Saccharomyces cerevisiae S288C: one gene and its partners. The protein of the gene in region 2 interacts with the protein of the main gene of each other region in a biochemical or structural test. Each region holds a gene or a part of one and is shown on either strand. Other genes may lie near its edges. The genes, in order: NFI1, SGO1, SIZ1 and RTS1.

Region 1 (7,680 bases), 160 kb from region 2:
AATGTCCGAAAGAATTCCGAGAATTTTATTCCTAGGTTATCTCATCGGTACTTTTTTTTTATAGGCATCAGCATTTAGTGTGAAAACATTATTTCTTAACTGTGCCTTACGGTTAAAAAGAAAGGACGCAATGGATATAGTTAAAATATAAGATATATTATATCATTATCTGTCCGAATGGCGAACCGTCTTCTCATATACGGCCTTATTTTGTGGGTAAGTATAATCGGATCTTTTGCATTAGATAGGAACAAAACTGCTCAAAATGCGAAGATTGGTCTACATGATACCACTGTGATCACGACTGGAAGTACAACGAACGTGCAGAAAGAACATTCCTCACCACTATCCACCGGTTCTTTAAGAACCCATGATTTTAGACAGGCCTCTAAAGTTGACATACGGCAGGCTGACATACGGGAAAACGGTGAGAGGAAAGAGCAAGATGCACTAACACAGCCTGCAACACCAAGGAATCCGGGCGATTCGAGTAATTCATTTTTATCGTTCGACGAATGGAAGAAGGTCAAGTCGAAGGAGCACTCATCAGGCCCTGAACGTCATCTTAGTCGAGTGAGGGAGCCAGTCGATCCCTCTTGCTATAAAGAGAAAGAATGCATAGGAGAAGAGTTGGAAATCGATTTGGGGTTTTTGACAAACAAAAACGAGTGGAGTGAAAGAGAAGAAAATCAAAAAGGATTCAATGAGGAAAAGGACATAGAGAAAGTTTACAAAAAAAAATTCAACTATGCATCCTTGGATTGCGCTGCAACAATTGTCAAAAGCAATCCAGAAGCGATTGGAGCGACTTCTACGTTAATTGAGAGCAAAGACAAGTATTTACTGAATCCCTGTTCAGCTCCGCAGCAATTCATTGTTATAGAGCTTTGTGAAGATATCCTGGTGGAGGAAATTGAAATTGCTAATTACGAATTCTTTTCCTCGACCTTCAAGAGATTTAGGGTGTCAGTTTCTGATAGAATACCGATGGTTAAAAATGAATGGACAATATTAGGAGAATTCGAGGCAAGAAATTCAAGAGAACTACAAAAGTTTCAAATACATAATCCCCAAATCTGGGCAAGTTATTTGAAAATCGAAATTCTATCCCATTATGAGGACGAATTTTATTGTCCCATATCCTTAATCAAAGTATATGGTAAATCAATGATGGATGAGTTTAAGATCGATCAACTAAAGGCTCAAGAGGATAAAGAACAATCCATAGGAACTAACAATATAAACAATTTGAATGAACAAAATATCCAAGACAGATGTAACAATATAGAAACGCGTTTAGAGACTCCAAACACAAGCAATCTCTCAGACTTAGCTGGTGCATTATCATGTACTTCAAAGCTCATCCCTTTGAAGTTCGATGAATTTTTCAAGGTGCTTAATGCATCCTTTTGTCCTTCCAAGCAAATGATATCTTCTTCTTCTTCTTCGGCTGTTCCTGTAATTCCAGAAGAATCCATTTTTAAGAACATCATGAAAAGGCTGTCACAACTGGAGACAAATTCTAGTTTGACAGTTTCTTACATTGAGGAACAGAGCAAACTGCTATCTAAATCGTTTGAACAACTTGAAATGGCGCACGAAGCAAAGTTCAGTCATCTTGTCACGATATTCAACGAAACAATGATGAGTAATCTAGATCTGCTGAATAACTTTGCCAATCAATTGAAAGATCAATCTTTACGTATATTAGAAGAACAGAAACTGGAGAATGACAAATTTACTAACCGTCATTTATTGCATTTGGAAAGATTGGAAAAAGAAGTCAGTTTTCAAAGAAGAATTGTTTATGCGTCATTTTTCGCCTTCGTAGGGTTGATATCCTATCTATTAATAACGAGAGAGCTTTACTTTGAAGATTTCGAAGAGAGCAAAAATGGCGCTATTGAAAAGGCAGACATTGTTCAACAAGCAATCAGATGAATCCTAGAGGGCCCATAATCATAATTCTAAGCATAATTCATTCAAGATGAAAAAATCCACCGCCATATATGAGGTGTTTCTATAGGAAATATCTATATACTTTTATAGTCCTAATTTCATTTTACATAAACTGTTTTAATCAGTTTCTAATAATCTATGAAGATAATTCACTGTTTCTTGAGGGGATGCTATCCAGAGGGTACATCCAGCTAGCCTTGCCTTAAAATCATTTGCTGATCCCACCGGTGCAAACTGATCGCCTACGTGTAAGGTTTCAGAGGGTTGGATAGGAGATTCAGGGTTATAAAATTGTTGCAATGAACGAACACCAAGATCTTTCCCCCCAATATCACACCAGACATCACTACCACCATCAAAACAACTAAATTGAATTCTTCTAGATGGGGCAAAAGACTCTAAAGTGTTTTGAAGGGTTAAAACTATTTCCTCCAGTTGTTCCCTATCAAGCTTAACAGGAACTTGTCTTTTAGAAGCTTCATCGTACCGTTCGCCTGGGACGATACCCACTGCCCTGACTTTACGGATAATAGAAATCTCTGAAGGTAGGTTTAGTCTTTTTCTTAACCTGTTAAGAGTTCTCTCGGCAAAGTCCAAAGTCTTTTCCACGTCCTCGAGGGACCAAGCCTTCATTCTAGGCAATAGCCATTCCTCTTTGTCAATTTGTCTAAAGCCAAAGTTATCTTCCTCCGGGTCTTCATAGTAACGGAAAAGGTAACTCGACTCACCACCCATTATTGTTAAATTCTGCTTTTGAGAAACTGGTATATCAGTTGAATCATGTAATGCAACAATTAATCCTTTCAATCTGTTCTCATAGGTTCCAGCTTCATCATATCCGGCCGCAGTGACTATTCCCACATTGATACCGCACCGCAACAGCTTGAGAATATAAGGAATTACAGGATTAGTGTAAACCAGGGAGCCACCATCTTCATACAGCGTCACATCTCCATCAAAAGTCACTAATCTCAAAACCTTACCATTATGTAAGTTCTCCTGTTTCTTAAAGTGAAATATCTGTGCAGTATTCAGGATATGCCTGATATCATTAAAACTGGGTGCTACCATTCTACGCGCCGAAATGGCCCGTTGTGAGTCTTCCCATAGAAAAGCTTGTTCCAATGGAAGTTCCGTAAAGAATGTTCCAATTGATGGAACCAAAAGATTTAAACGCGATTGTCCTAATATATTCAGAGATTGAGAAGAGGCGCCATCTTCAATTTCGTCTTGGCTCATGTTTCTTGAGTCAAATTCTATTTTATCTTTAATCAGCCCTTCAATGTCTTTAAAGATATCAGCATACTGCGACCTTACACGTTGAGTTGTTGCTAAGTCGTCATTGTAGTCACCTTCATGAGAGACGGCATGTAGAACAAAAGGTGAGGCCAGTAGCCCCTTTACCCAATCTATAAACTCATCCTTGCGGTGGCTCTTCAAATGATATTCCACTCTATATCTTGAGGACATTGCTATTATAAGTTAACTCACGATCTTTTGTTACTTTCTTTGAATAGTTTTCTTTTCTTAGTACATTCCTTTACCTTTTAAATTTTGTTAATTTAAGGGCGGCCTGTCCCGCTAAACGTGGGAAGTGAAAGGACATGAAATATTATAGTGTAATACAGGAAGTATACAGAGAAATCTATAGAAACCTATCACTGCAGATTCGCACACTACACCCATGAAGTAACCACAGTAGTAAAAAAACATAACAAAAGTCGTAATATTTATCAAAACAAAAACATCATTTACGCCCAAAAGTGGAAGTCAATATTAAGAGCGAAATGAAACAATAGAAATAAAAATAGAATACAATCGGAAAGGAAAGAAATCAAAAGACGGTTAATCAATCTGATGTTAAATCGACCACTTCCGAGTTATCTTGAGCCGATGTGTTAAAGTCATTAGTTTGGGCCAGAGTTTTATTCATTATGGCGTGATTTGCCTGTGGTCTCCGTTTCATAAGGGTGGCGTATGGATTCTTCGGAATGTAGATAGAAACATTAGAATGCCTTCTCTTCCTAATTTTTCCATCATCCCCATGGCCGCTGGTGCTCACGTGTATATATGGAGGGAGATGTGCCGCCGATGTGGTCCTTGTTGGTAGTTCAGTTTCTGCTTCTGAATTTGGGTCCACAGGGGGGATTGGAGGCAAATCACCTTCGATTCCCAAAAGATTACGATCTTGAGCTGTGGTATTGTAATTAGGTCCGTAGGGGTTTCTCTGCGCTTCCGTTTGATTAGTCAAATTTTGTAGAACAGCCGGTAATAGTGGCGTTGATGGCCCTCTATTGTAGAATATTCTGCTGTCACCATTCGTCGCCGTAACGAAAGAATTAATACTGCTATTGTTCGTCGGTGTGTCATTTATATTTGTAGTAGCGCCTTGGTTCAAAAATGACCTCATTTGAAAAGCATCTTGATAATTATCTTGGTCCATAGTTGGAGAACCTTTCGGCGTTGATGTATGATTGGGGTTGTAGTCACTGGATCCTTCCGATTCTGAGGGAAATATATCTGCTCTTAATTGGTCATTACGGGGGTTCACGTGCGTTGGGAAGCTTTTACTAGCCGGAATAAAGGCTTCATCATCTGAGCTATCCAGAGATATTATTTCGGGTTCGTTGTGGTTTGAACCATTACGCAAATTAGTATCGAAGGCATTTCGGCTGTCATAATCTTGCTCTTGTTTGACAGTGCCTTGGTTCTCGTTTTTCACACTGTGATTTTGGTTAACAGTATCCGTTATAACGGCCGAACTATTATGAATCGGTTTCCATGAGCCATCAACAGATATCTCAACTTGCTCAACATCTTCATTGCAATTTTGAATAATATTATCTACAAATTCGGAAATCTTCAACTGGTCGAATTTTATAGGGTGTTGACAAATCGGACACTGCCATGTAGGGACTTGTGACTGAGAGTGAAGAAACCAGAGAGCATCAAAACATTGGATATGCTTACATTGGTCAGTCTTCGCCGGATACTTCATCCTTGTACAAGATATAGGACATTGCAAACTCAGCACCGTGGAGGTTGTAATAATATCGTCATCATCTTGCTCATTCAAGGTTCTTTTGATGTATGCTGTGGTGGCTTGCTTGATAATTTTGGGCCTTTTCAGAATTTTCCCCAGAAGAGCTTCAGGTGAAAAAACTTCCACTATAAAGCAACTTATAGAGTACTCTTTATCAATATTGAGATAATGTAAGTCTAGGTGATTCATCTCGGTCGGTACTTTAAGATAAGGCGTTAAATTTGCAGGATTACCTGTCCCATTTTGTTTCTTTAAACCTTTCACGTTGTCCTCTAGTTTGGTGCCATTAAACACTAGTTCACAGGGATACGGGAAATCTATTGCCTCATGGCCCACAGTTTCATATATAAACGGTATTGAAAAGCCAGAAAACAAATACAGTTTATAACTCTTGTTAGATTTCAAAAGATCATGATTAGATTTACTTACCTTGAACTTCATTTTTGTACAACCTCTTCCTGCAGATTGCTTCAATTTTTTATTGGCATCCGGTATTTGTACTATTGGTTTGTAAAACGGTGAGGTAAAAGAATATGCTAAGGCCTGTTGTTGGGAATAAGGTGGCAATGCAGTACTCTGGAGAGCTGTCACGGGTAGTTGCCCCGATGCTACAGGATGCTTGAACGCACCCGTCTTTAAAGTTTCCCAAAGGGTAGAGTATTTTGGTAATGATGAGTTTATCCTTACTTTCGCGATAAGAATCTTAATAGCCTTAGGCCTCCACGGATCTATATGTCCAATATCACAGGATTTTCTTAAGAATTGTTTTATTCGGTCTTGTAAGACAGCCTTTTTGCCCGTTATGGATAAATCCAGAGATTTGCATATTTGCTTTAACTCTAGAACCTTTAATTGTTCCATTTCATTTATTGCATCTTTTATTTCATTTATGAGTCCACCACCTGTGTTGGACAAAGGGTTCGTAAACATATAACTGGCATTATTATTATTATTATTATTATTATTATTTGACATGACACTTGCCATCGTGCTCTTTTCCCTTATACGTTTCTTGATTATCAGTGTATCGTTTGTGGTATTCTTAGTTCCTTGATATTTGCCTCAGTAATAGCCCTTTAAAGACCAACAAACGGATGACTATAGAAATGTTAATTTTAGTGTTATGTTATATGTGTGGTACTGAGCTGTGTTTGTTATATTATGCTCTGTGTGATAAAATAGCTAAAATGGATGGATAAATTAACACGAAAATTAACGAACAAAAATCAACTAACACACTTCAAAGCATAAAAAAAAGAAAAAAGAAAAAGAATCAAGAACAAATAATAAGCTCTGCTATAAGAAAATATATTATGTAAATAGTTTTGCGGTTAGTTTTTGACTTCCTTTATCACATTTTGTTGAACAATGATTTACTATACTAAAATATACTTAAGTTCTATGTTTTACTTTCAAGCCGTTATATCGACTTGTTCTTCTTGTATGTCACAAATATTGACAATACTCTCCTTCAGCACAGCAGTTGTACCCCTGGGGAATTTGTAGCTTTTCTGCTTTTCTTCTCTAACATTTGGAGTCAAGTAATTCCTCAAGTATTCTGCATCTTTACCTATTTCCATGACACACACATCCACATTAGAACCAGACCCCAAATCATTCCAGATACCAGCCTGGATTGCATCAGAGGCCAACTTTATGGCTTCCTCCTTCGTAAGGTCTTGCTTCCAGTGTGATTCCAACACAGCCATTGCCGCTAGAGAACCAGATCCTAGAGAAAGGTAGTAGCCCACGTCAGTAGAACCATGCGCATGAATGGAGAACAAATGAGATCCCGTAGGGTCTACACCTGCAACAATCAAATAAGCACCAATATGACCTTGGTACTTAAATAGGTGCTGCTTTAGCATTTGTAAAGCTGAGACCACTCTTGGTTCTCTCGAGGTATATAAGGAATGTAATTCAATGTTAGACCCGATCAACTGCGTAACTGCCTCAGTATCGGCGGCGGTACCGGCACCAGCACACCATATTTTGGGGGAAATTCTATGCAATTTTGCGCAATTCTTATCTGCGACAATTGGACCTTGTGTTGATCTTGTATCTGCTGCAATCACCACTCCGTTATTGAATTTTACGCCTACAATGGTGGTACCCGTGGAAGTTGCCTTAGGTTGTGTGTGCGAGTTTTCCGCTAAGAAATTATTTCTTTGATAATTGTCGAACGATAAACCTGCCATGCTCACTCAATTCTATTTTCTACAATCAGGTTTATGTGGGGGGAGTATTCCTGAAAAAATTTAACGCTTTACTATACAAACTCTCCACCTCAACTGATCACCCTTCTGCTGAATTATTAGTTTATCCTTTTCATCTTTCTTTTTGGTATTTTGCCACTCGGCCGGGTTATAAAATACGAAACATGGCCCTAATTTACCCGCTTTTACAATAAAGGGTTTGTAATGAGGGTAAAAATATTGGCCCTAATGAAAAATCACTAGCAACGGAAGTGCAAGTAGAACCCTGAAGTCGCCGAGTAGGAAAGTGATTCCCAAGAGGAGTAGAATAAAGAAGAGAATCTACATATGGATTATTTAGGTAATAGTTTCATTGCTGATTGTCAACAACAATAATAACAAGGATAATTGAAGTATGGGGAAAGGTGCGGCCAAGTATGGTTTTAAAAGTGGGGTTTTCCCCACAACAAGGTCCATTCTGAA
Region 2 (7,294 bases):
GGAGCAGGTCTGACTCAACTAAAAAGCTAGCTGCATGCAACCACGCTACATTGGCACACTATATCCTGACGCCCGCGCTATACTCTGACGCCTGCGCTATATATTCTGACGTCTACTCCATAACTATTATAGTAGTGGCCACTGTTGTTCGTAACCCGGCGCGGTGTTCGCTCCGAGCACGAAAATTCTGTCGTTTATTCTCTTCCTTCTTCCAGTTCCATTACTTAAAGGAGCTGTTTTATTTCATTCGAAAGCCCGATGACAAATTCTCCTCTTTCATATAAATTAATAAGGCGGTCAGCAGGAAACTCCTATTGCCAACCGTCTTGCGAACCGACCGGTCGCTGCGCGCGATCATGCGTCCACGCGCTTCTGTGGCGACGGACGACTACAGCAAGACATTACTCTGGTCATTTACGCCTGGCGCCCAGAATGTACAAGCGCAGACGGCCAGATCATATGATGAAACGGAATAGTCCCAGCTATACCGGTGATCACAAGACGTAGTTACATAGATGCCTTGGCGCCGACACGATATTTCTTGTCGTTCTGTGCCAGTAATTCCTTTTCTTCTCGACTATGCCTCTAAGACGTCAGTCTTGGAAGCATAGTCTTCGTAAAAAAATTTTTTTTTTGAGGTTTTTGCTTCCATTTCTTTAGACTGAACTAATTTATTTTTTTTATTATTATTCAGTAATTTTTATATATTTATTTATGGACTTATTGAGGTGCTTTGGGGGTGATGACGTCCCCAGTGAGGCCCCCAGGGTAGTGGACCGCACCTAACTTCCCATTCATGATGTGATTACGCATTTTAATCTTGTCTATATGTTCTACAATGATGGCGTCAGTGCCAATGCCGTTCGCATCTATGAGGGAGATGAACTCGCTCTCGGCCGTTGGGTTTGAGGCGGTGCCGTAGTGTCCGCCTTCATTCCGGCTTCGCGGTGTCTACGAGGCATTCATTTTATGTCGCGGCAACTACTTGATATTTTCCACCAGGCACAAGGAGAAACATGGAGAAATTATATATAGAGAACTATGAGTCCTGAGGCGGCCGTTCAGTAGCTCAGATTGCCAGGGTTAAAAATTGCTCCTTGGCATCCTATGTGCTGCATACTAAAAAATTTTTAGCCACGTAGTTGTATACTTTTGTTTCCGGGGATGAGAAATTAGCCCCAGGTCCCAGACTTACAACAAGGTAGATAGGGGGGCGCACCTTGTCGTCATGAGACCCATTTCGTAGAAACTTGAATTTGTTGTTGTTACTTCTGTTTTCAAGTAGGAGTAACGAGGCCGCGTACAATTTGCCAGTGGATTTGTCGCCTGCAGCAGCGGCCGCGACGCGACGGGTTGATCCAATTTTGTGCTTGCTTCTTCAACTGAATATTTTGAGTCCACTGCATGTGGAAAACAGAGTTTTCAGTCAGTCTTGTATGTATATTATTCTCTTTAGCTCCAGAATTTCTGCTGTGCTTAGTAACTTCTTGCCGTTGAGCTGATTTTAGTAGTATAATTTTTTTGCAACTCTACTGATATCAAGAGCAGTGATATGTGCTTTAATGTTGGCATTTCTTTCAAGCCAATCACCTTCTACCATTGGTCACGGTCTCAGTATATTTGTCGTAAATATTAGTACTCTAGTCTGGTCAGAGAAGTGGCCTTTCTCCCACCAAAACGTTGTTGTTCTGTCTTTTTTCTTATTATTTACTATTTATTGGATTTATCAAAAATTCCTCAGGAACAAGATTTAATATTCTTGAAAATCCTGTATGTCATAAATCATGAGCTTGGAAATTGACACGAAATATCGGATGGCACTACTTGATGATCGTTTTTATCACTACCGCTGTACTTTAATTTCATAATTTATTTGGTGACATTTCTCTTGAAGATCTGGCAAGATGTACACGGGGAGCTCCTTCAACTGTTAAAAATATTTTTAAAAGTAAAGACGTCACCATACTTTTTCACCATAAGAACAATTACTGGTCCAGATTAAGAACGGTTGGAGTAAGAGCCAATTATCATTCATTGACTGGTATTTCCTTTTGAACTATATTATCATATAATAGGTAAGAAGATGGCAAAAAGGAAGGAGAAACAGTGGTCTGATGTGATAGGGAAGTAAATGTCAACAAATACCTAACAGTACTATCTGATCGAACAAAGAAATTCCACCAAACTGTCAGTAAATTTATTTAATGAGCAGCAAGGACATAGTGCACAACTAGCACTCTACTTCGATTGGGTTATTGAGGAAGAGGATAGTATGCCCGGAATTTTCAAGCATTTACATGATTATGGTTTCATTGGGGTGCAAGAAGACCCAGCATGATTAGATTGCTATGTACTCATTATATAATATATCTCCGATGAATATATTTCCGAAAGTTTACTGAAGGCGACCTTGGATAAACCATAGTTTTACGGCAAATACACCATATCACTATTTTCTTTCTATATAGCTTTGCTAAGGCTTTTTTTAGTGACCGAGACAAAGAAGAAAATTTTCCATAAATGAAAGACCATTGTTTATTCCGAATCAAGTTTTCCGAAGAATTGTTGTATTACACAGTCCAGAGACAGCAGAATCTTTCAGAAATTTTAATACTGTTGTGACAGCATCTTGTCTATTATTTATTGGATACGCAAAACTCATTTTTTTAAAATTTTTTTTATAATTTCCTTTAAATAAAAAGGTTAAAGCTGGGAAAAATGCATCTAAATAATAAACTAATGATTTAGTTTCCCTCATTTAAAATATCTAAGAAGGACAGAACTTTGTTTGGGGTACTTACCCTTGAGTATTTTTAGCGATTATTCTTGGAGTTCTCAGCCAGAAGATTAAAAGAATATATGTTACTGAATGCAGTGTGATACTCAAGACTAAGTAGTCTTAACAACAAGTTAACAAGGGCGTGTGGTCTAGTGGTATGATTCTCGCTTTGGGCGACTTCCTGACTAACAGGAAGACAAAGCATGCGAGAGGCCCTGGGTTCAATTCCCAGCTCGCCCCTTTTATTTTTGATTATTTATTTCCTATTGGTCGGGTAACAGATTTTTTTTATTTTTTTCAAGGCCCTTTTGTTTTGTAAACAAAGAAATTTCACAAAGTGAGCGTCTACTAATATTGATAATGCCATTTCCACATTACAACTACTGCTAGGCGCAGGGTTATATTACTTACACACGCATATATATGTTTAATTGGGTATAGAGGGGTTATTGTTTGACCATGCCGAAGAGAAAAATTGCTCCTAACAAGGAAAGCAGCAGGCGTACGGTCTCCCACGATGATTTAACCCCACAAATACAAGAATTTCAAAACCTAATGGATCTCGAATCGCAAAAAGTGGAAAACATCAGACAGTCGTATTCGAGGCAAAACTCCCTGCTGGCCAAGGATAACTCCATATTAAAAATTAAAGTTAATAGCTTGGAAAAAAAAATAAGCCAGCTGGTACAAGAAAACGTGACTCTACGATCTAAAACCTCTATAAGCGAAGCTATCTACAGGGAACGGTTAAGTAATCAACTACAAGTCATTGAAAACGGTATTATTCAAAGATTTGACGAAATTTTTTATATGTTTGAGAACGTACGTAAAAACGAAAATTTGCCCAGTTCGAGCTTAAGAACAATGTTGAAGAGAACGAGTTCCAGGTCAAGATCATGCTCATTGTCATCACCCACATACTCAAAAAGTTACACTAGGTTATCAAATCACGAGAATAACCTGTCGCATGAATCAAGTTTTAACAAGGACGATGGTCCAGATCTTGAGCCTAAGGCTAAAAAAAGGAAGAGTTCTAGGCGGCAATCTATGTTTGTATCCACGAGTTTAGAACCTGAAGACGAAACCGGTGAAAACGAACCCATGATGGAAAATTCCTCTGTAGAGGTACCGGCAGAATCACACGAGTCTGCGCAAGTGGAGGAAACAATAGATGCCTTAAACCCTGAAGAGGAAAATAGCGATTCTGTCAGTAATTTTACCAATTCAATTATAGAATACTCCATACCAGAGGAGAATCCGACAGAACCCGAGCATTCATCTTCTAAACTAGAAATATTCAATGACAGTACAAATATGCTAAGTACAGTGCCGTCAAATCCTTTGCCGTTGCCTTTACCAGGCCCATCCGCAACTTTACCTACTACCACTAGCGATGCTTCAACGGTCTATCCTTCATCAAGTTCTTCTACTAATTCTCATCCAAAGACCAAAATTAAGCATTCCATGAAGCCGCCTAGGATAGAACTGAAGAAAAAGGTTATTGACGAAGTCATGCCCGTAAGTAACATGAGCAGCAACAGCGAAATATCATTTACGAGAACTAGAAGAACTCGTGGTAAAGCTGTAGATTACACTTTGCCTTCTTTAAGAGCCAAAATGAGGAGGCCTTCAGAAAAACTTGTGGATGCTACTACTGTGATTGATATACATGATCTACAGGTTTCCAAGAGAAATCGGGAAACTTCACATAAAAGGAAAAGTTTATCCCAAGATTCAATACCCGACGAACCGCAATTGAGAGAAGTCGTCGTCTCAAAGGATTATGGAACTCCAAAAGGGAAAAAAACGGAAGATGAAATACACGAGGATACCGCTCATCTAATGACCACTTCCAACAACAACAGCAACAACAAAAACGAAAAAAAACTAACTAGCAACAATAGCCCTAAAAAATCGTCGCCTTTACTTGACATTACAAATAAATCGGAGAATAAGAAAAAGTCAACAAGAACTAAAAAATTGTTCAAAAATGCAATTGTCAATAATTTATCTGATGAAAATTCTACTACGCGACCCTCCAAGTCGTCAAAGGGAACCAGTAATAATAACAACAATTACAACAATTTCGACAATAACAATTCAAACATTAATAATGTTAATAATAAATCTGTTAGCTTTAGACTAAATGAAGATGATTTAGCAGTATTTGATTTATTTGGAAATGGTAAGGCAGTGAAACATCAACCAAAAACATATCGCACCAAAAAATGATATATAGTCTTTTTGCCCTGGTGTTCCTTAATAATTTCTATATTTTTGCATAATAAACCATTGTATTATATACATTCGATTTTGTGTGTATATACGTAAGTACATGATTTTGTTTCTCCTCGTGCTGTCAATTATACACTCATTTTCATTTGAATTCTTGGATGAGGATTATAATCTTCAATTTCAAAGTCTGTCAACTTGAAATCATCAATGTCTTTAACGTCCCTTTTAATCTTTAGTTTCGGGAATGGTCTTGGATTTCTGGTGATTTGTTCTTTCAAGGCATCAATGTGGTCTTTATAAACATGTGCATCCCCCAAAGTATGAATGAACTCACCTGGCTCCATGTCGACAACTTTAGCAATCATTCTAGTCAACAAAGCATATGATGCAATGTTAAATGGTACTCCCAACCCCATATCACAAGAACGTTGGTACAATAAGCATGAAAGGCGGGGCTTACCGGATCCTTCTCCTTCTTTGGGGAAACTGACATAGAACTGTGAAAAAATATGGCATGGCGGCAAAGCCATTTTGTCAAAATCAGCTGGGTTCCAGGCACTCATAATGATTCTTCTATCGTAGGGATTTGTCTTTAGTTTATGTATAACCTGTTTCAATTGATCAATACCTTGTCCAGTATAGTCGTCATCGCACGTCTTGTATTTAGCACCAAAATGCCTCCATTGAAATCCGTAAACGGGCCCCAGATCTCCTACTTTCCTATCTTTGAACCCCATCTTATCTAAATATTCACGAGATCCATTACCGTCCCAAATCTTAACACCTTGCTCAGACAATAGGTTAGCGTCTGTATCACCGGCCAAAAACCACAATAGTTCAAGTATGATACCTCTAGTAAAAACCTTCTTGGTCGTTAGTAGTGGGAAGGTATCATCACGTAAACTAAAACGCAGCTGGGGTGGTGCAAAAAGACTCAACGTACCAGTGCCTGTTCTATCTGGCCTAAATTCACCTTCATCAATGATTCTTTTGCATAGATCAAGATATTGCTCTTCTTCTTTGTTTTTTCCGTCCATAGTCATCCTGTACCGTTCTGTTATGAAGCTCTCTCCTTGATACTTTATTGTTTGATATACACAGTCACTTACAAGTTTAGAAAATACAATTACAGCTATGCTATAGTAAATATTTCAGGAAACGCGTCAATTAAGGTCTTTTTCATTTTTTCTATTTAACGCGTCACCAAATATTAAGTTTGAGAAAGAAGGTCAAAAAAGCAACACCTCTTCCAACCTGTTCAATGCGGTCCTACGTTGAGGACACAAAGCTAATCTCTTTGAGGTAGCTGCAGTATAATGACGGGACCTTTGCATATTTTATTGGCCTTTTCCAATGAAACTAATTTTTTAATTGAATCTCAATCCCGTCCTTTACAGACGAGAGGGGAAAGAAGCTTGTTCGCATGATCCATCCTGGAATATGGATACATGTCATGTAATGATAAATCATTCCTACCTTTGCTGGTATCTTTCTGAAAAGGGCACATTTAATTAAGAACTGCCAACAAGGAAAGATCTCCGTTACCCTACCCAACTTGTGAGCTCAGATGAATGAGAATAACTAGAATACATACACATACGTCTAGTATCATTTCCCCCGGTGCTGGGAAATCACCCGTAAAAGCAGTGAAGAGCTTATTAACTCATGATGTCTGATTTAACACCAATATTCCGTAAGTATGTTGCTGTTATCGATGATGCTAGAAATGAGCAAAATGGTATAGATGATCATGTTGAAAGGAAACAAGAGGACTTCGGGAATTCTAATGAAACGTGTGAAATGTTTAGGGATTCGTTTATTAAGGAATGTGCAAGACTATTGAAGTTCCTAGTCGAATTAAACAAGGTAATAAAACAGATTGAAAAAAACTATTTAGATGACTTTAATATGAGTGATGCGGAAAAGGACGAGTTTGACATGGAATGCAGGCTGCAAATTCAACAATATTTCAAAAAGTTTGAATTCCTAGAGAATTACGAAATGGAAAGGCATAATTTGTCGCTGAAAAGATTTCAGTCAAAGTCTCACAGATGGTCAAAAATACTTTCCAATAAAAACGACAACACTAAGCATGTGATACATCCGCAAGACATTGAAAATGGAGTTTATGAATTTAGATTAGGTGTCCTACGGTGTTTGAATTTGTGGATAAAATATGTTTCATCCAAATTCACTACCATACAACAGGAAAGATTGATATTAGAAAATAAAATGAATTTCAATTCAACGCCTATGCCTACTTTATCCAACAATGCGGAT
Region 3 (8,116 bases), on a different chromosome or scaffold from region 2:
GTTGAATTCAGAAAGTTTCTGTACCGCATTATTAAACTCTTTTCGCGTCCAATGGCCAATTGGTATCACTAAGGTCCTAATCTTAGATGGGCCAACATAGCTTGGGAAATGCTTAAGAATATTCATGGTTTTTGTCTCCCTGTAACAGGTTGTGAGCCGCACCTTAAACCAGTTATACTAGAACCGTTTAAACTACAATCTGGCCTGATTTTAGTTTTGCAATAACACGATTAAGCGTTTACACATGCACATTCATATATAAGTATACGTATTTACACACATTTTATTCGAAACCTTTAAGATCGTTTTGTCACAATCCATGATCATGATTTACGACGCGAGATGTTTCGCGCCTCACTTTGAAGAATGCCAAATATAAAAGTATAAATATGGGAACTATTCTTATTTGTGAAGCTGCTGTAAAACCTTATATGTAGCTTCTACAATCGCGATGTGCTCAGCATCGTGTACCCTTTGCTCGTACTGCTCTAGTGTTTCTTCGCCAGGTATGATTTCTAGCTTTTTTACCACCAATGGCTCACCCTTGTCGACCTCCTCGATGACATAGTGCACCATGCATCCGGCCGTCAGAGGCTTGTTCTCGTCCTGACATTTGCGCCATGCCATTTCAATTGCGTGTGTGGTACCATCGAAACAACCTGGTAGCGCTGGATGCAGATTTAATATCGGCACAGATTGCAGTTGGCTCAAGAAAGTAGATCCAAGGATCAATAACCAGCCCGCGCAGATGATAACGTCAGGCTTTTCCTCGAGCACTAGTTTTGCGAGGTCGTTCTCAAACTGGGATCTTGCCTTGGCCCTTGCGGCTTTGTCCTCCTTCGCAATACCCTTTGTATATGGGTATAGCGAACAAACCTTTGTGGGGATATTATTGTCCGCTGCCCTAGTTAACCCGTATGCCTTCTTGCTGGAAGATATGACAGAGACAATATGAGCATCCTCGCCTAATTGGCCCTGCTTTTGGGCATCGATCAAGGCTTGCAAGTTGGAACCTGAGCCCGAAATTAATACGACAATTCTGGCCATAGCTTTTGGAAAGATTATTGATGTGTGTTGGCTCTCACCTGCGCTTGCTGCAAGTTAAATCATCAACCTTGAGGCTAGGAGCGTTATTCAACTTTAGAAGTGTCTTCTCTTCATAAACTACTCTATATAACTTTCCTCTTGCTGGAATAAAAAACAGGTCAGAGTCACTAGCAACGAGTCACTCATTCGAATCCTTGCTGACGCTTTTAGTCTTTATGCTGAAATCTATCTTCGAAGTCGGAAGGAAAATGCATTTTTAAACTATCACTAGAACTACCATTTTAGAGCGAGCAGAAGGTTCCTCTTTTCTTAAACAAGTATAATTTTCCTTTTTGGATTGTACTTTATATTCTTACACTAAACGGCCCCTAGATGTCACCTGAGCTGTAGTCAATGTATACACCCATTCACCGCACCAGATAGTAAGTTGAAAAGTGTATCATCTTTAATATGAATATGAAAGAATGAAGTGGAGTTCATCCATATTTCACAAGAAAAGAAGACTCCAACTCAAACAGTTGAGTGTTCCATATACATTCTGTTTCAATGATAAATTTAGAGGATTACTGGGAAGATGAAACGCCTGGGCCTGATAGGGAACCGACTAATGAACTAAGAAACGAGGTGGAGGAAACCATCACTCTGATGGAACTGCTGAAAGTGTCCGAATTGAAGGATATTTGCAGGTCTGTATCTTTCCCGGTTTCCGGTCGCAAGGCCGTTCTACAGGACCTTATCAGGAATTTCTTGCAGAACGCTTTAGTAGTAGGCAAGTCTGATCCTTATAGAGTTCAAGCCGTTAAATTTCTGATAGAACGGATCAGAAAGAATGAACCTTTGCCTGTTTATAAAGATCTTTGGAACGCTTTAAGAAAGGGTACCCCATTGAGTGCTATCACAGTACGTTCTATGGAGGGGCCTCCCACGGTGCAGCAGCAATCACCTTCCGTTATTAGGCAGTCTCCCACTCAACGGCGGAAAACGTCTACCACATCTTCCACATCTCGTGCACCACCACCTACAAATCCAGATGCCTCTTCTTCTTCATCATCTTTTGCTGTACCGACAATTCATTTTAAAGAGTCTCCATTTTACAAAATACAAAGGCTAATCCCTGAATTAGTGATGAACGTGGAAGTCACAGGCGGAAGAGGTATGTGCTCTGCGAAATTTAAATTGTCCAAAGCAGACTATAATCTATTAAGTAACCCGAATAGCAAACACAGGCTATACTTATTTTCTGGGATGATTAATCCATTAGGATCCCGAGGTAATGAACCCATCCAATTTCCATTCCCAAATGAATTAAGGTGCAATAATGTTCAAATCAAAGATAATATAAGAGGTTTCAAGAGTAAGCCGGGCACAGCTAAGCCGGCGGATTTAACGCCTCATCTCAAACCTTATACTCAACAAAACAATGTGGAGCTGATATATGCCTTCACCACGAAGGAATACAAGCTATTTGGGTACATTGTAGAAATGATCACTCCGGAGCAACTCCTGGAAAAAGTATTACAGCATCCAAAAATTATTAAACAAGCCACGTTACTTTACTTGAAAAAAACACTTCGGGAGGATGAAGAAATGGGCTTGACTACCACATCTACTATCATGAGTCTGCAATGTCCAATTTCGTACACAAGAATGAAATACCCTTCAAAATCAATAAATTGTAAGCATCTGCAATGTTTTGATGCATTATGGTTCCTACACTCCCAACTACAAATTCCTACGTGGCAATGCCCAGTATGTCAAATTGATATAGCTTTGGAAAATTTAGCAATTTCCGAATTTGTTGATGACATTTTACAGAACTGTCAAAAAAACGTTGAACAGGTAGAACTTACTTCTGATGGTAAGTGGACAGCCATATTGGAAGACGATGATGACAGCGACAGTGACAGCAATGATGGTAGTAGAAGCCCAGAAAAAGGTACTTCAGTATCGGATCATCATTGTTCTTCTTCACATCCAAGTGAACCGATTATCATAAATCTCGATAGTGATGATGACGAACCAAATGGAAATAATCCTCATGTTACTAATAATCATGATGATAGCAACAGGCATAGTAATGATAACAATAATAATAGTATCAAAAATAATGATAGTCATAATAAAAATAATAATAATAATAATAATAACAATAATAATAATAATGATAATAATAATAGTATCGAAAATAATGATAGTAATAGTAATAATAAACATGATCATGGTAGTCGCAGTAATACTCCCAGTCATAATCATACTAAAAATTTAATGAACGATAATGATGACGATGATGATGATCGACTTATGGCGGAAATAACTAGCAATCACCTTAAAAGTACTAATACAGATATTCTAACTGAAAAAGGTTCAAGTGCACCCTCGAGAACCCTGGATCCAAAAAGTTATAACATAGTTGCTTCAGAAACTACTACTCCGGTGACAAACAGGGTTATTCCTGAGTACCTCGGAAACAGTTCCAGTTATATTGGTAAACAATTGCCGAACATTCTGGGAAAAACGCCTTTAAATGTGACTGCTGTTGATAATTCATCCCACTTAATCTCTCCAGATGTTAGCGTATCATCCCCAACGCCAAGAAACACCGCTTCAAATGCAAGTTCGAGCGCTCTCAGTACCCCTCCCTTAATAAGAATGAGTTCATTAGATCCCAGGGGATCCACTGTTCCCGATAAAACAATAAGGCCTCCCATAAATTCCAACAGTTATACTGCATCGATATCAGATTCATTTGTCCAGCCTCAAGAATCTTCAGTTTTTCCACCACGTGAACAGAATATGGATATGTCCTTTCCTTCCACCGTGAACTCAAGATTTAATGATCCACGTTTGAATACCACAAGATTCCCTGATTCAACATTGCGTGGGGCAACTATTTTGTCGAATAATGGGCTTGATCAAAGGAATAACTCTCTACCAACAACAGAAGCAATCACGAGGAATGACGTCGGGCGACAAAATTCTACGCCTGTACTTCCCACGTTGCCCCAGAACGTCCCAATTCGTACAAACTCTAACAAGTCTGGGCTTCCTTTGATAAACAATGAAAACAGTGTCCCCAATCCTCCCAACACTGCAACCATACCGTTGCAGAAGTCCAGACTCATTGTAAATCCATTCATTCCAAGGAGGCCTTACTCTAATGTACTGCCCCAAAAAAGACAACTTTCTAATACATCCTCAACTTCACCCATAATGGGTACATGGAAAACGCAAGATTATGGAAAGAAATACAACAGTGGTTAAAAACGAGGCTAAAATTGGACGGTTCCGTCCAGCTCTTTCATGAAATATTTTCTTTGTAATTGTGCATATGACCTTCATTTTCTATAATTTTCCGTTCGAAAAAGAAATATTTTCTTCTTTTCAATACTCAAAGGCAATATCACTGTTTGCATTCCCCTAGCATTTATTACCTACCAAATACAGATGCACAAGATTAGATAAAATCTTACATAACACAAAAATCCAGTCCATAACTAACACAATCATTACTATTATATAAAAGGTATTCCGACACCAACCTTATTCTTGTATTCTATGTATTCCGCGCTAAAGAACTCTATCAAATATTTTTCTTCCACACGAATTCTATCACTGAAAAATTTCCAAAGTACAAAAATGAAAATAACCAATGATAGGGGATTTAGAAGCAGTAGCTGAGTGCCAATTGCCCACCAAAAGAACCCAAGATAACTTGGATGTCTTGACCAGGAGTAAACGCCAGTTTTCACTAAAACATGATCGGACTCCTTCTTGGTCTTCACAATATGAGAAAAGGAATGTCCCGCAGTATGCATAGCAATAGTTCTGGTATATTGTCCCAGAATAACTAGAAGACATCCAAGTACTGTACAAAGCTTGGTAGCTAGAGAGTAGCTAAAAATTTTCAGATCAGGAAAAAGAAAGCTTTCTACGAGGCATTCCAGAATAGCAAAGGAATGTGCCGCCATGTAACTTTTGCCGTTGTTCAGAAGAAAGGACTCTGAATGTACCTTAAGAGGATTGTATTTAGCTGTAATATAATACTCCAAAAAATGGAATAAGGACAGGGCAATAATAAAGAGGTTAAAATTCTTGAATCTAATTTGTGGAAAAAGACCAACAAATATACCTAAAAGAATCCCCAGTATGTAGGAAGTCATGGTCACCTCATGCAGCGGATTGCGTCTGATGTCTGGATACTCATGCTCGTCTTCTTGAAAATCTTGGTGCATGTTGTGTTCAAAAACGGTGACCACAATGAAAGAGGAGGTAAAAAGAGTAATTATCTTGAAATCGATTTTCACTTTCTTATATAATTCATCAACACGAGAACCTTTCTATATACTGGTGGTATCATGTAAAGAATTGTTTTACCATAGTGGCCCATTTGTCAATTCGTCTTGAGTGATGTTTCATTATCAATCGGTTGCTATGCCAACGAAAATACTATGTCAGACTCTCTTGATGTATATAATGAATGGCAAAGTACATAGAAATAGATAAAAGTTGTTATTGTGAGTCGGAGGGGCTGTTTGTTTGTCCTACTCGTTGGCCGCGGCCTTGAAATTGGTTCAAATTCGATGGGCCACTTCTTAATTGACTTCCAGAAGCTCTGCCTGAATCTGTGCCACTGGTTTGAGACAATGTTGCAGGGGCCGTACCCAATCGTTGACCTCTTCCACTAAAAGTTCTCGTTTCTCTTTGCGAAGATGGCACATTGGCAAAGTTGTTGTTGAATGTTGCAGTTTCATTGTGGGCACCCGTTATGCGAGCATATAGACTAGTAAACCACCATGGCGTTGAGAATTTCCCATTGGGCGAGATTCCGTAGGTTGGATCAGCTTTTCTGGATATCATCCCCCATATTGGCCCCAGTGTATGGGTATCTAAGCATGTATAAAGGTACCCTGTAGTAAAACCGATCAATGAGATTACGAAATCACCCTCATTAAAAACGAAAGAGATAAACAATTGAATTAAGGGGAAGTACTTCCCCCAAACAGGAATCAAACCATAAAACATGATCTGCACGTTGGCATTGTCGATCGACCAAGTATATGTAATGCATGATATGAACCCAGAGGTGAGCACAACAGGGTAGTAGGACCCATAAATGATTGTAGTGGCCGTAGTGATGGCTAGTATACAAAAGCACAGGTAGTAGGCATAGTCTACTGTTACCATCGGTCCTCGTCTATTGGACAAACCGGGACCAAAATGCCCTCGCTCCAACTGTGAGGACCTGTCATAAATACTATATAGTTCCATTAGCGCAGGCATGGCACGAGACGAAAGCATTACACAAGAAGTAAGAAGTCTCCATATCTGAACCTTCTTGAACGTCAAATTCCAAACATAAATAAAGTACCACGGATTGATTAGATTCAACCGGCCGACGATCGTCATAACGATCGCTAGAGTAAATAAAGTTCTTGTTATTGGGGGGATATTTAACCAGAATTCTTTTGGGCCCATCACATCATTATTACGGCCTCCATTTCCATGTAATGTACGCACATTCCTTGGGCCTGCCATTATTTCCTCGAAAATAGTTTTTGATTTGACTTGGAAATGCGGAATTCACTGGTAATTTGTTGTATTTTGCCTTATATCCTTTGTTTGATACTCTTGTCTTATATTGAAGAGGACACGATTTCATGAGCCGCGAACGGGTAAGTAGGGACTTTTCACATTTGAAATTTTTCAAATGTGATGAGGATCGATTCTGCAAAGCAGCAGATAATAGCAGATAAAAAATAGAGAGTTGCAATATTCAAGTTCCTGGTAGCTGCTCGAATCAAGAGGGGTGAATTAAAGGTTTTCGATTTTTGCTATGGCTGTTCACACCAATAGGCAAATCCTTACAAGAGGCAAAAACTATGCTACAAAGCAATCAAAGAAATTCGGTACCGATGAGGTGACGTTCGACAAGGATTCTCGTTTGGATTATCTGACTGGCTTTCACAAGAGAAAGCTTCAAAGACAAAAGAAAGCACAAGAGTTTATTAAGGAGCAGGAAAGGCTTAGAAAAATTGAAGAAAGACAGAAGATTCGGCAGGAACGTAAGGAGGTGATGGAAGAACAGTTAAAGACGTTTAAAGAGAGTTTAAACTTGGAAGCTGAGATAGAGGATGCGAAAAATGATAAGACGGAGGATTTGCAGGTAGAATCTGATGAATCCTGGCACGGGTTTGATTCTGATAAAGATGACGGCGATAACGACAATAATGAAAGTAGCGTAAAGCCTATTTTGAAGAAAGGAGCAATCACGGAAATATACGATGACTCAACTACTGTTGAATTGGAGACATTGGAACCCAATGATAACTTTGAATATTTAGCCCAGCTAAATAATGTCAAATTAGAAAAGGCAGAAAAAGTACTCAAACAAAGCATAAATAGAGCCACCAAATACGCGAAGTTTCTGGGCGTGGATGAGAAACAAAAGAAGAAGCCAAGAGTAAAAAAGTTCAGATATTTGACCAAAAATGAACGAAGAATAAACCAAAGAAAGGCAAACGACAACAAGCGTAGGAGATAATGCAGTCGCATTATCGTCGGGCACCGCCTGGGGTTTCTTGACGCTCAAACAGTGTTTGATTTTTTTTTGGAAAAGTATATACTGTGCATATGTATTTTTCGTTTATTATATGTAATATATCGAATAAACCATTCTACGGGGAAAATAGAACAAATATTTACAGCATTTGCATGATTTTATATGGCTTGCCCAACAAATTATTTGCTTGCAAACTTAATATAATACTCTGCGTCCAATTTGAAAACGACCCATATGCCTCTTCTAATTACTTCGAAATACTGCATTTCGCCTTGGAAAAAAATGTAGTCGCTATCTGCGGCAACTAATTTCAGATTCTGCGATAAATATACCCATAGCCACCAGAACCTCAGCAAAAAGTCAACGAGAATCGCCGAATGATACATTTTTTTCTTTAATGTGACGGCACTTTTGGATCTGGATCTTAAAGAGGTTAACGAGTCCAATGACCAATCCATCCTTACATCCCAAAATAACGTATAGGAAGAATTAATTAGCATAAACCATCTT
Region 4 (7,885 bases), 110 kb from region 2:
CTCCACATTACTAGTGTGGCGCCTTACCAACTTGGCCATAGAAGCAGTAAACCGTTATTTTGTTGTTTCTCAGAGTGGTACACGTCAGTATGACAATACATCATCCTAAAACGTTCATATGAAACAACCTTATAACAAAACGAACAGAATGAGCAACATGACATATAACTTCGCCTCCCTTAGCTTAACCACCCAAACGTATAGACGCCTGAGCAATTAATTTAGATCCGAGGTTCGGCGCTTCCACCAATTAATATGATCCATATTTTATATAATATATAGGATAAGTAACATCCCATGAAAAGCTGATAATCCGTTCTGACAACTGGTTACTTCCATTGACTGTTTATATTGGGATTTTCAAGACACCCCGGTATTACTCGTACCCGTAAAACAACATACACTTCGTCATGACTGAGAAGAATATAGGAGTAAAAAGAATACCTGAACTAACAGATATAATCAGCATCATGTTTTTTAAGCGAGAATACAGAAATATTCAAATTAAGATAGGCAACAAGGATTAGTTTAAATCTGAAAATCTTTTAAGATTAGGTACCTAATTTAGCTATATTGCTTTATGATTAGTTATAACGTCATTGGAGGAACAAACTATTGGAATAAGAATCGACTATAATCTACCGGCGAGTATTCATAAGCTATTATATTGTGGTAGACGGAGTAGAAAGATAAAAAAGGATTGAAAACAGTCATCTGATTTAATGGAAGCTGAAATGCAAGATTTAATAATGTAATAGGATAATGAATGACAACATAAAAAATAGAAGAAATAATAATAGTAACATTATGTGGAAATATGGGTTTCCTTGGCAGGTTCCTATATCCTTGAGAAAGAGCTTCTAATATATTTTGTATATTTAGTATTATAACTAAGCTGTTAGAAAATAAAATACCGCTAAATCAATTGAGGCGGTATTAAATACCTGTACATTTGAATATTTGGAATGAGAAAGAAATATAGTTACATAATGTACAAAAAAGAAGCAAGAAAGGAATATATATATATATATATATATATATATATATGTATATTGTTATTTAGAATATCTCTCTCTCTTCGAGAATCTCTATATCCTCGAAAAGAACTTTTAGCATATTCACGATAGGTCGTATTATCAATTAAATCAATTACGAAGTTCGGAAGTTATTGCCTACATAATATGATGTCCTGTTCATAAAAATAGAGCCCTAAGAAGTGTTATTAAATTTAACCAGCCTACAAATTAAATATAAAATGAGTGTTATTGTTCCACCGACTTGAATAATTGTACAACTTTAGCTAACATTTTAACTAATATTTTAACGCATCTTATTATCAAGTATTGTAACAATACGTATCATCTTACTATCTCAATGGAAGCATTCTCTTATACATACTGAGTCAAATATCTTGAAGACTCATTATAATGTGTAATAAAAGGACAAAGCAGCGTAGAAGCCTTAAATAACTATGCACTTGGACACATGTCTTCTCACGACGTGTTCAAATATAATGATTTTTCAATCAGCTTTGAAGTTCAATACAAACTTCTTCACTAAAGGATAATAAGCAATCATTATTAATGGCAAAATCGGTTTTCAATTTCTTTCATTTTGAAATATTGGAGTATTTAAACCGTTTTGTGTATCATTCACAATACTTTCTTCCATACTACTGCTCTCTTGAAGTTCTTGGGAAGAGCCGAAAAAATTGGACATTTCAATATTGGTGCTTATACATTACTACTGACAAGAAGATAATAAAAAAGAAAGATTTCTATCACCGATAGTGAGCTCTTTAGAAAACTGAACGCAATAAATTTTATGCCTCATAACGTCTTGGGGCGCGAGAATTTACTGACGTAAACAGATCCGGCTCAAAAAGTCGTCTTTACCTTTCTATCATCTCGTCGCATAATTATTAAATTAACTCACAATTTCTCACAATTTATATCATGCCTTTTTTGTCAGTTCGTGGCCTTGCCAGTGGAGATATAACAACTACTTCGTAAAGGGTCCCGAAAGAAATGAAAGAATTACTCATTTGATATAAAAATTTGCATGGTATAACAGAAGTGAAACGCGGGGACAACCATGATCTTTTTTGAGTAGGATAATTTTTTATGTCGGTTTGATATATTATAAAGCAAGTCATATATAATATCATACTGATTTTAACCAAACGATAATCAATCAGAAAAAGAAAATAAATAAAAAATCTAGCACATAGTATTTCAGTACCCTTATGGTTCTGACCTCAGAAATTATTCAGCCGCTTGTTATCTTATAGTACGTTTTATATCGTAATTTTCCTGACATTTTGGGCAGAAATCCTTTACTCCTGATATAATAAACGACGTTTTTTTTCCTGTGTTTTTTATGTTACTATAAGAAATGCAAAAAAAGAAACAATAGAAAAAGGCAGTGACAAAAATACTAATCAGAACGTTGAAAACAAATCAATAGTTTTGATAATGGTAGCATCATCGATCAATGAAGAATCCTCTTTGGCGGTAAACTTGACAAGCGATGTAGAGAAGGCTTCGAAAACTTTGTTTAAGGCATTCGAAAAGTCATACGCAAATGACTACTTGATGAAAAAGTTCTTCCATATCCCAATCACTGAAAAAGTTTCAAGGGCAAGAATAAATGCAATGATACATTACTACACGACGTGCTACCATGACTTGGATGGTGAAATTGCTGAGGCAAATGATTTCGATGCAGTCGCAATATGGAGCCGCCCTGGGTGCCACTTGCCTGCTACACTATCTGACGACGAGTCTTTCAATAAGATTTTTTTTTCACGACTTGACTGTGAGGAAGCACGAAGTCATGCCTCTGGGAATGGACTATTACTACCTTTATGCCATCGGAAAAGATCCTAGCCATCCCGAAATTAGAGGTTCAGTCAGAAAAATACTCGAAAAATATAAAACCAAAGCAGACAAGGCCAATTGCGCCCTTGCTCTCGAGGCTATTTCGGAGCACGCAAGATCTGTGTACGAATATTTCGGTTTCAAAACCTATTTGGTGTTTCAGTTCGGGGTTGGAGAAGTGAACTCCAAAGGAGAACCCGATCCGCAGGGGAAGGGATTCACGGCCTACTTGATGCTCTACCACAAAGATGCAGACACCATCTTTCACGCCTGATTTTCTTCTAAAAATTTTATAGACATTTATTGTATGTATGGAGCATATAGCAACAATAAAACTTAGACCAACATTTTTTGCCGGGTCACAACCCCCTATCCCGGCTGCGAGAAAGGAAAAAAAAAAGTATCAGACAATTGATTATCAAAGAGTATGTGAAACTACGCTTTGTTTTCCACTTCAATTGGTAGGCATGTCAATACGTCTCGTTTCTTCATTGGAAAACTCTTCATTTCAAGGATAAACCATCGTCGCCGTAAGTATTTTGGGTTTCATTTCCTTCCCCCCTCGATTTTGCTTTTTTTTCCTTTTTTTGTTAGATAAAAATATAAACCCTTCTCCATATACCTGTTCACCTCAATACCGTCTTTAACTGGCTTTTTTATTTTGTATAAAAGTTCTACTTATTAAGATCAATAGGCACGTGCTATTTTCGAACATCCACTTTCAATATGATGCGTGGTTTCAAGCAAAGATTAATAAAGAAGACCACCGGGTCTTCTTCTTCTTCAAGCAGTAAAAAGAAGGACAAAGAGAAGGAAAAAGAAAAAAGTTCCACTACCTCATCCACATCAAAGAAGCCCGCTTCGGCTAGTAGCTCTTCCCACGGGACTACTCACAGTTCTGCCAGCAGTACCGGATCAAAGTCTACAACTGAGAAGGGCAAGCAATCTGGTAGTGTTCCCTCGCAAGGGAAGCATCATAGTAGCTCTACATCAAAAACAAAAACAGCGACGACCCCTTCTTCCAGCAGCAGTAGCAGTAGAAGTTCAAGTGTCAGTCGCTCCGGTTCAAGCTCCACAAAGAAAACAAGTTCAAGAAAAGGACAAGAACAGTCCAAACAATCGCAACAGCCATCACAATCTCAAAAGCAAGGATCTTCTTCATCATCTGCCGCTATAATGAACCCCACTCCAGTACTCACTGTTACTAAGGACGACAAAAGCACTTCTGGTGAAGATCATGCACATCCTACTTTGCTGGGGGCAGTATCCGCTGTTCCATCATCTCCCATTTCAAATGCTTCAGGTACAGCAGTTTCTTCTGATGTAGAAAATGGTAATAGTAATAATAACAATATGAATATTAATACTAGTAATACTCAGGATGCAAACCACGCCTCCTCACAAAGTATCGACATTCCGAGATCATCACACTCATTTGAGAGACTACCAACACCCACAAAACTTAACCCTGACACAGATTTAGAGTTAATTAAGACTCCCCAACGTCATTCTTCATCTAGATTCGAGCCATCTAGATATACGCCATTAACGAAATTGCCAAATTTTAATGAAGTTTCTCCTGAAGAAAGAATCCCTTTGTTCATTGCCAAAGTTGACCAGTGTAACACTATGTTTGACTTTAATGATCCAAGTTTTGACATTCAAGGTAAAGAGATTAAAAGAAGCACCTTAGATGAGCTAATAGAATTCCTTGTAACAAATAGGTTCACTTACACGAATGAGATGTACGCTCATGTGGTGAACATGTTCAAAATCAATCTGTTTAGACCTATTCCACCACCAGTAAATCCAGTTGGTGACATTTATGACCCAGATGAAGATGAACCTGTTAACGAACTAGCCTGGCCTCATATGCAAGCTGTTTACGAATTCTTTTTAAGGTTTGTGGAAAGTCCTGATTTCAATCATCAGATTGCTAAACAATATATTGATCAGGACTTTATTTTAAAGTTACTGGAATTATTTGATAGCGAAGATATCAGAGAAAGAGACTGTTTGAAAACGACACTGCATAGAATATATGGGAAGTTCTTATCATTAAGAAGCTTTATTCGTCGGTCGATGAATAATATTTTTTTGCAATTTATTTATGAGACTGAGAAGTTTAACGGTGTGGCAGAATTGTTAGAAATTTTGGGTTCCATAATTAATGGATTTGCACTTCCATTAAAGGAAGAGCACAAGGTTTTCTTGGTGAGGATATTGATACCATTACACAAGGTCCGTTGTTTATCATTATACCACCCTCAGTTGGCTTACTGTATCGTTCAATTTCTCGAAAAAGATCCTTTATTAACCGAAGAGGTAGTTATGGGCTTACTGCGTTATTGGCCAAAAATAAATTCCACAAAAGAGATAATGTTTCTAAATGAAATCGAGGATATTTTTGAAGTGATCGAACCGCTGGAATTTATTAAAGTAGAAGTTCCGTTATTTGTTCAATTAGCTAAGTGTATTTCTTCTCCACATTTCCAAGTGGCGGAAAAGGTTTTAAGTTATTGGAATAATGAATATTTCTTAAACTTATGTATCGAAAATGCCGAAGTCATCCTACCCATTATATTTCCTGCATTATATGAATTAACTTCTCAGTTAGAGCTAGATACAGCAAATGGCGAAGATAGCATTTCAGACCCTTACATGCTTGTTGAGCAAGCAATCAATTCTGGTTCGTGGAATAGGGCAATTCATGCTATGGCATTCAAGGCATTGAAAATTTTTCTGGAAACAAACCCAGTATTGTACGAAAACTGTAATGCATTGTACTTATCAAGTGTAAAAGAAACTCAACAGCGTAAGGTGCAACGTGAAGAAAATTGGAGCAAACTTGAAGAATATGTAAAAAATCTAAGGATTAACAATGATAAGGACCAATACACAATCAAAAACCCAGAATTAAGAAACAGTTTCAACACAGCAAGTGAGAATAACACATTAAATGAAGAGAACGAAAATGATTGTGACAGCGAGATACAGTGAAACAGCAATTCATTACAAGCTCGAAGAAGTGAGGAAGTTTAGGGCATGCCACATTTCAAAAGAGCAGCAGTATATGAAGAGCAAAAAAGAACTGGTAAATGGGGTCAACTTGTTGAAGAAACCAAAGATAGAATCCCCGAATATTCGAACAAAACTATAGCAAAGATAAGCCACTTGGACAATGGTTGTTTGTGGCCTGAGATAAAGGTCTCTTTTTCTCATCATTTGAGCATACTTCAATCGATGTGTCTTCATTTTATTATTTCTATACTTTTCTCCAAATATATCTTCGTTTTTCTTTTCGCTTTCCTTCTTCCTTCTGCCTTTCCTCTATTTATTTTGCACTCCACTCTTTTCCGTAAACCTTGCCTATCTATTATTGGATTTTTGAAAACTAAAGTATAAAGGTATGTCATAAATAATTAAATAACAAAAAAAATAGGATCATGATACAAAAAAGTGCCTTCCCCTTAGCACAGCTGATCCAACAATTTTAAGAGCTTGAAAAGCAACCTATACGTAGTTTTTTTGGCGACTGGTAAAAAAGAACTGAATAATTAATGCCTGCACTATACTGATACCAACCATTACCCCCATAATTAGTAATGAGAGCCATGTTAATCTTGACTCAGTAGAACTCACAGTATACATGTTTCTCCATTCTCTAGCCCTTAAATAATCCATTGTTTTGGTGATCTTATTCAGGTTCCTATCAATTTCCTCGATGGCGTTGTTTGCGATTATGTCCTCTTTGCTTTCATGGGAAGAAACAATTTCCTTTTCCTTTTCGAGGGTGATTTCAACTTTCTTTGGGGAAGTGCCGTAGTTATTACTCAAACAGAAAGTGTACTTACCTATACCAAACGACTTCAGTAGAAAATCAGAATGCTTCTTTTGTCTTTCAGTGACGATAACAGAGCCATCAGGGGCGGTAATATCGAAGTCTATCTCGAAATTCCCACCTGTCAAAACTTGGTAACTGACCACAAGGACATCTTTATCAGAGGATAAATCATAGTAAAGACATTCTTTGGTAAAAGCAGGTAATGATATGCCTACAGGAGCATAATTAGAGGAGAATGCATGTGTTAACAAAGATGAACTAAACAAAATCGCAATCAAAGTAAAAACGCGCATAATTCCTAGCGATGATTGGGAATATATATTTATGAAAAAACTTCACTAGCGCTCGTGAAACTACTTCAAAGGCAGCTGGGAAATAAATGTCTTCAAAGCAGAGAAGAGTTCCCAAATAGAATTCTCAGATCGTCAATCGCTCATCTTTGAGTATATCACGTCAAAAAACAGGAAACAGTGAAAAAAAAGTAGTCCATAATAAAGCGCGTTTCCGTCAATGCCGTTGGTTAATAAAGAAACAAATATGTAAAAATATAATATAAACAGGGCACTTGAGAGAGCACAAAAAAGAGCCAAACGCTACCTGATACTTTTATAGTTTTGATAATGGGGTTCTACAACTGTAGATTCCTGTCCAGACGTCTATCTGTTGAGCCTTGCAGAATAGGTAGCGCCGCTAAAAGCTATCAACAGCGATCGATTTATCACTTTGGCGCTGCTCTCACAAATGCCCCTAGTGGAAGAGAAACACCAGACAAGCTACGTTCTGACCTGCATAGTGCTTTAGAGATGGTCGATGAAATATATGACACAAATTCGACTGTAGAGGACATTGGAAACAAGGAAAAGGGAGGTCGACAAAAATATACGGAAGAAATGGACAAGGCGATTAATCTACTGAAAACAAATATAAAGAAGGAGTATAGACATGATAAGTATTTGGAGCGGACAAAGGTAGGAACGTATCCTGGTAGAAGAACATATCCTGGTAGGAGAACATATCCCGCTAGGAGAACATATCCCGCTAGCAGAACATATTCAGATAGCAATTCATACACTTTTCGGATAAATGTCCAGAAGATTAGGCACGCATTAGTACGTTACAATCAAGATGGTGTTCAAAAACACAACCAAAAGCCTCCTAGGAT

What was found.
Region 1: of the proteins of SGO1 (region 2) and NFI1, one has a biochemical effect on the other in vitro, tested with the Saccharomyces cerevisiae proteins (one study listed by BioGRID).
Region 3: of the proteins of SGO1 (region 2) and SIZ1, one has a biochemical effect on the other in vitro, tested with the Saccharomyces cerevisiae proteins (one study listed by BioGRID).
Region 4: the proteins of SGO1 (region 2) and RTS1 form a complex in vitro, tested with the Saccharomyces cerevisiae proteins (2 studies listed by BioGRID).

Annotation. Positions count from the first base shown.
Region 1 is NC_001147.6:624,552-632,231, forward strand, and holds NFI1 (SUMO ligase NFI1), read right to left. Parts: upstream 5,990-7,680; coding exon 3,809-5,989; downstream 1-3,808. Other genes in the region: SLP1 (Slp1p), read left to right, coding at 178-1,941; ISN1 (IMP 5'-nucleotidase), read right to left, coding at 2,077-3,429; PUP1 (proteasome core particle subunit beta 2), read right to left, coding at 6,415-7,200; mitochondrial 37S ribosomal protein mS26 PET123, read left to right, coding at 7,613-7,680. UniProt on the Saccharomyces cerevisiae protein: May act as an E3 ligase mediating SUMO/Smt3 attachment to septins. May be involved in chromosome maintenance.
Region 2 is NC_001147.6:461,533-468,826, forward strand, and holds SGO1 (Sgo1p), read left to right. Parts: upstream 1-3,238; coding exon 3,239-5,011; downstream 5,012-7,294. Other genes in the region: YOR072W (uncharacterized protein), read left to right, coding at 1-284; YOR072W-B (uncharacterized protein), read left to right, coding at 2,937-3,098; CDC21 (thymidylate synthase), read right to left, coding at 5,143-6,057; UFE1 (Ufe1p), read left to right, coding at 6,680-7,294. UniProt on the Saccharomyces cerevisiae protein: Plays a central role in chromosome cohesion during mitosis and meiosis divisions by preventing premature dissociation of cohesin complex from centromeres after prophase, when most of cohesin complex dissociates from chromosomes arms.
Region 3 is NC_001136.10:1,287,813-1,295,928, forward strand, and holds SIZ1 (SUMO ligase SIZ1), read left to right. Parts: upstream 1-1,593; coding exon 1,594-4,308; downstream 4,309-8,116. Other genes in the region: TRAPPII-specific subunit TRS120, read right to left, coding at 1-126; ADE8 (phosphoribosylglycinamide formyltransferase), read right to left, coding at 403-1,047; STE14 (protein-S-isoprenylcysteine carboxyl O-methyltransferase), read right to left, coding at 4,560-5,279; DFM1 (Dfm1p), read right to left, coding at 5,557-6,582; rRNA-processing protein RRP17, read left to right, coding at 6,881-7,588; ERD1 (Erd1p), read right to left, coding at 7,786-8,116. UniProt on the Saccharomyces cerevisiae protein: Acts as an E3 ligase mediating SUMO/Smt3 attachment to septins and PCNA. May be involved in chromosome maintenance.
Region 4 is NC_001147.6:354,069-361,953, forward strand, and holds RTS1 (protein phosphatase 2A regulatory subunit RTS1), read left to right. Parts: upstream 1-3,605; coding exon 3,606-5,879; downstream 5,880-7,885. Other genes in the region: YOR011W-A (uncharacterized protein), read left to right, coding at 1,584-1,790; YOR012W (uncharacterized protein), read left to right, coding at 2,475-2,888; YOR015W (uncharacterized protein), read left to right, coding at 5,925-6,284; ERP4 (Erp4p), read right to left, coding at 6,393-7,016; PET127 (Pet127p), read left to right, coding at 7,344-7,885. UniProt on the Saccharomyces cerevisiae protein: The B regulatory subunit might modulate substrate selectivity and catalytic activity, and might also direct the localization of the catalytic enzyme to a particular subcellular compartment. Multicopy suppressor of ROX3 and HSP60.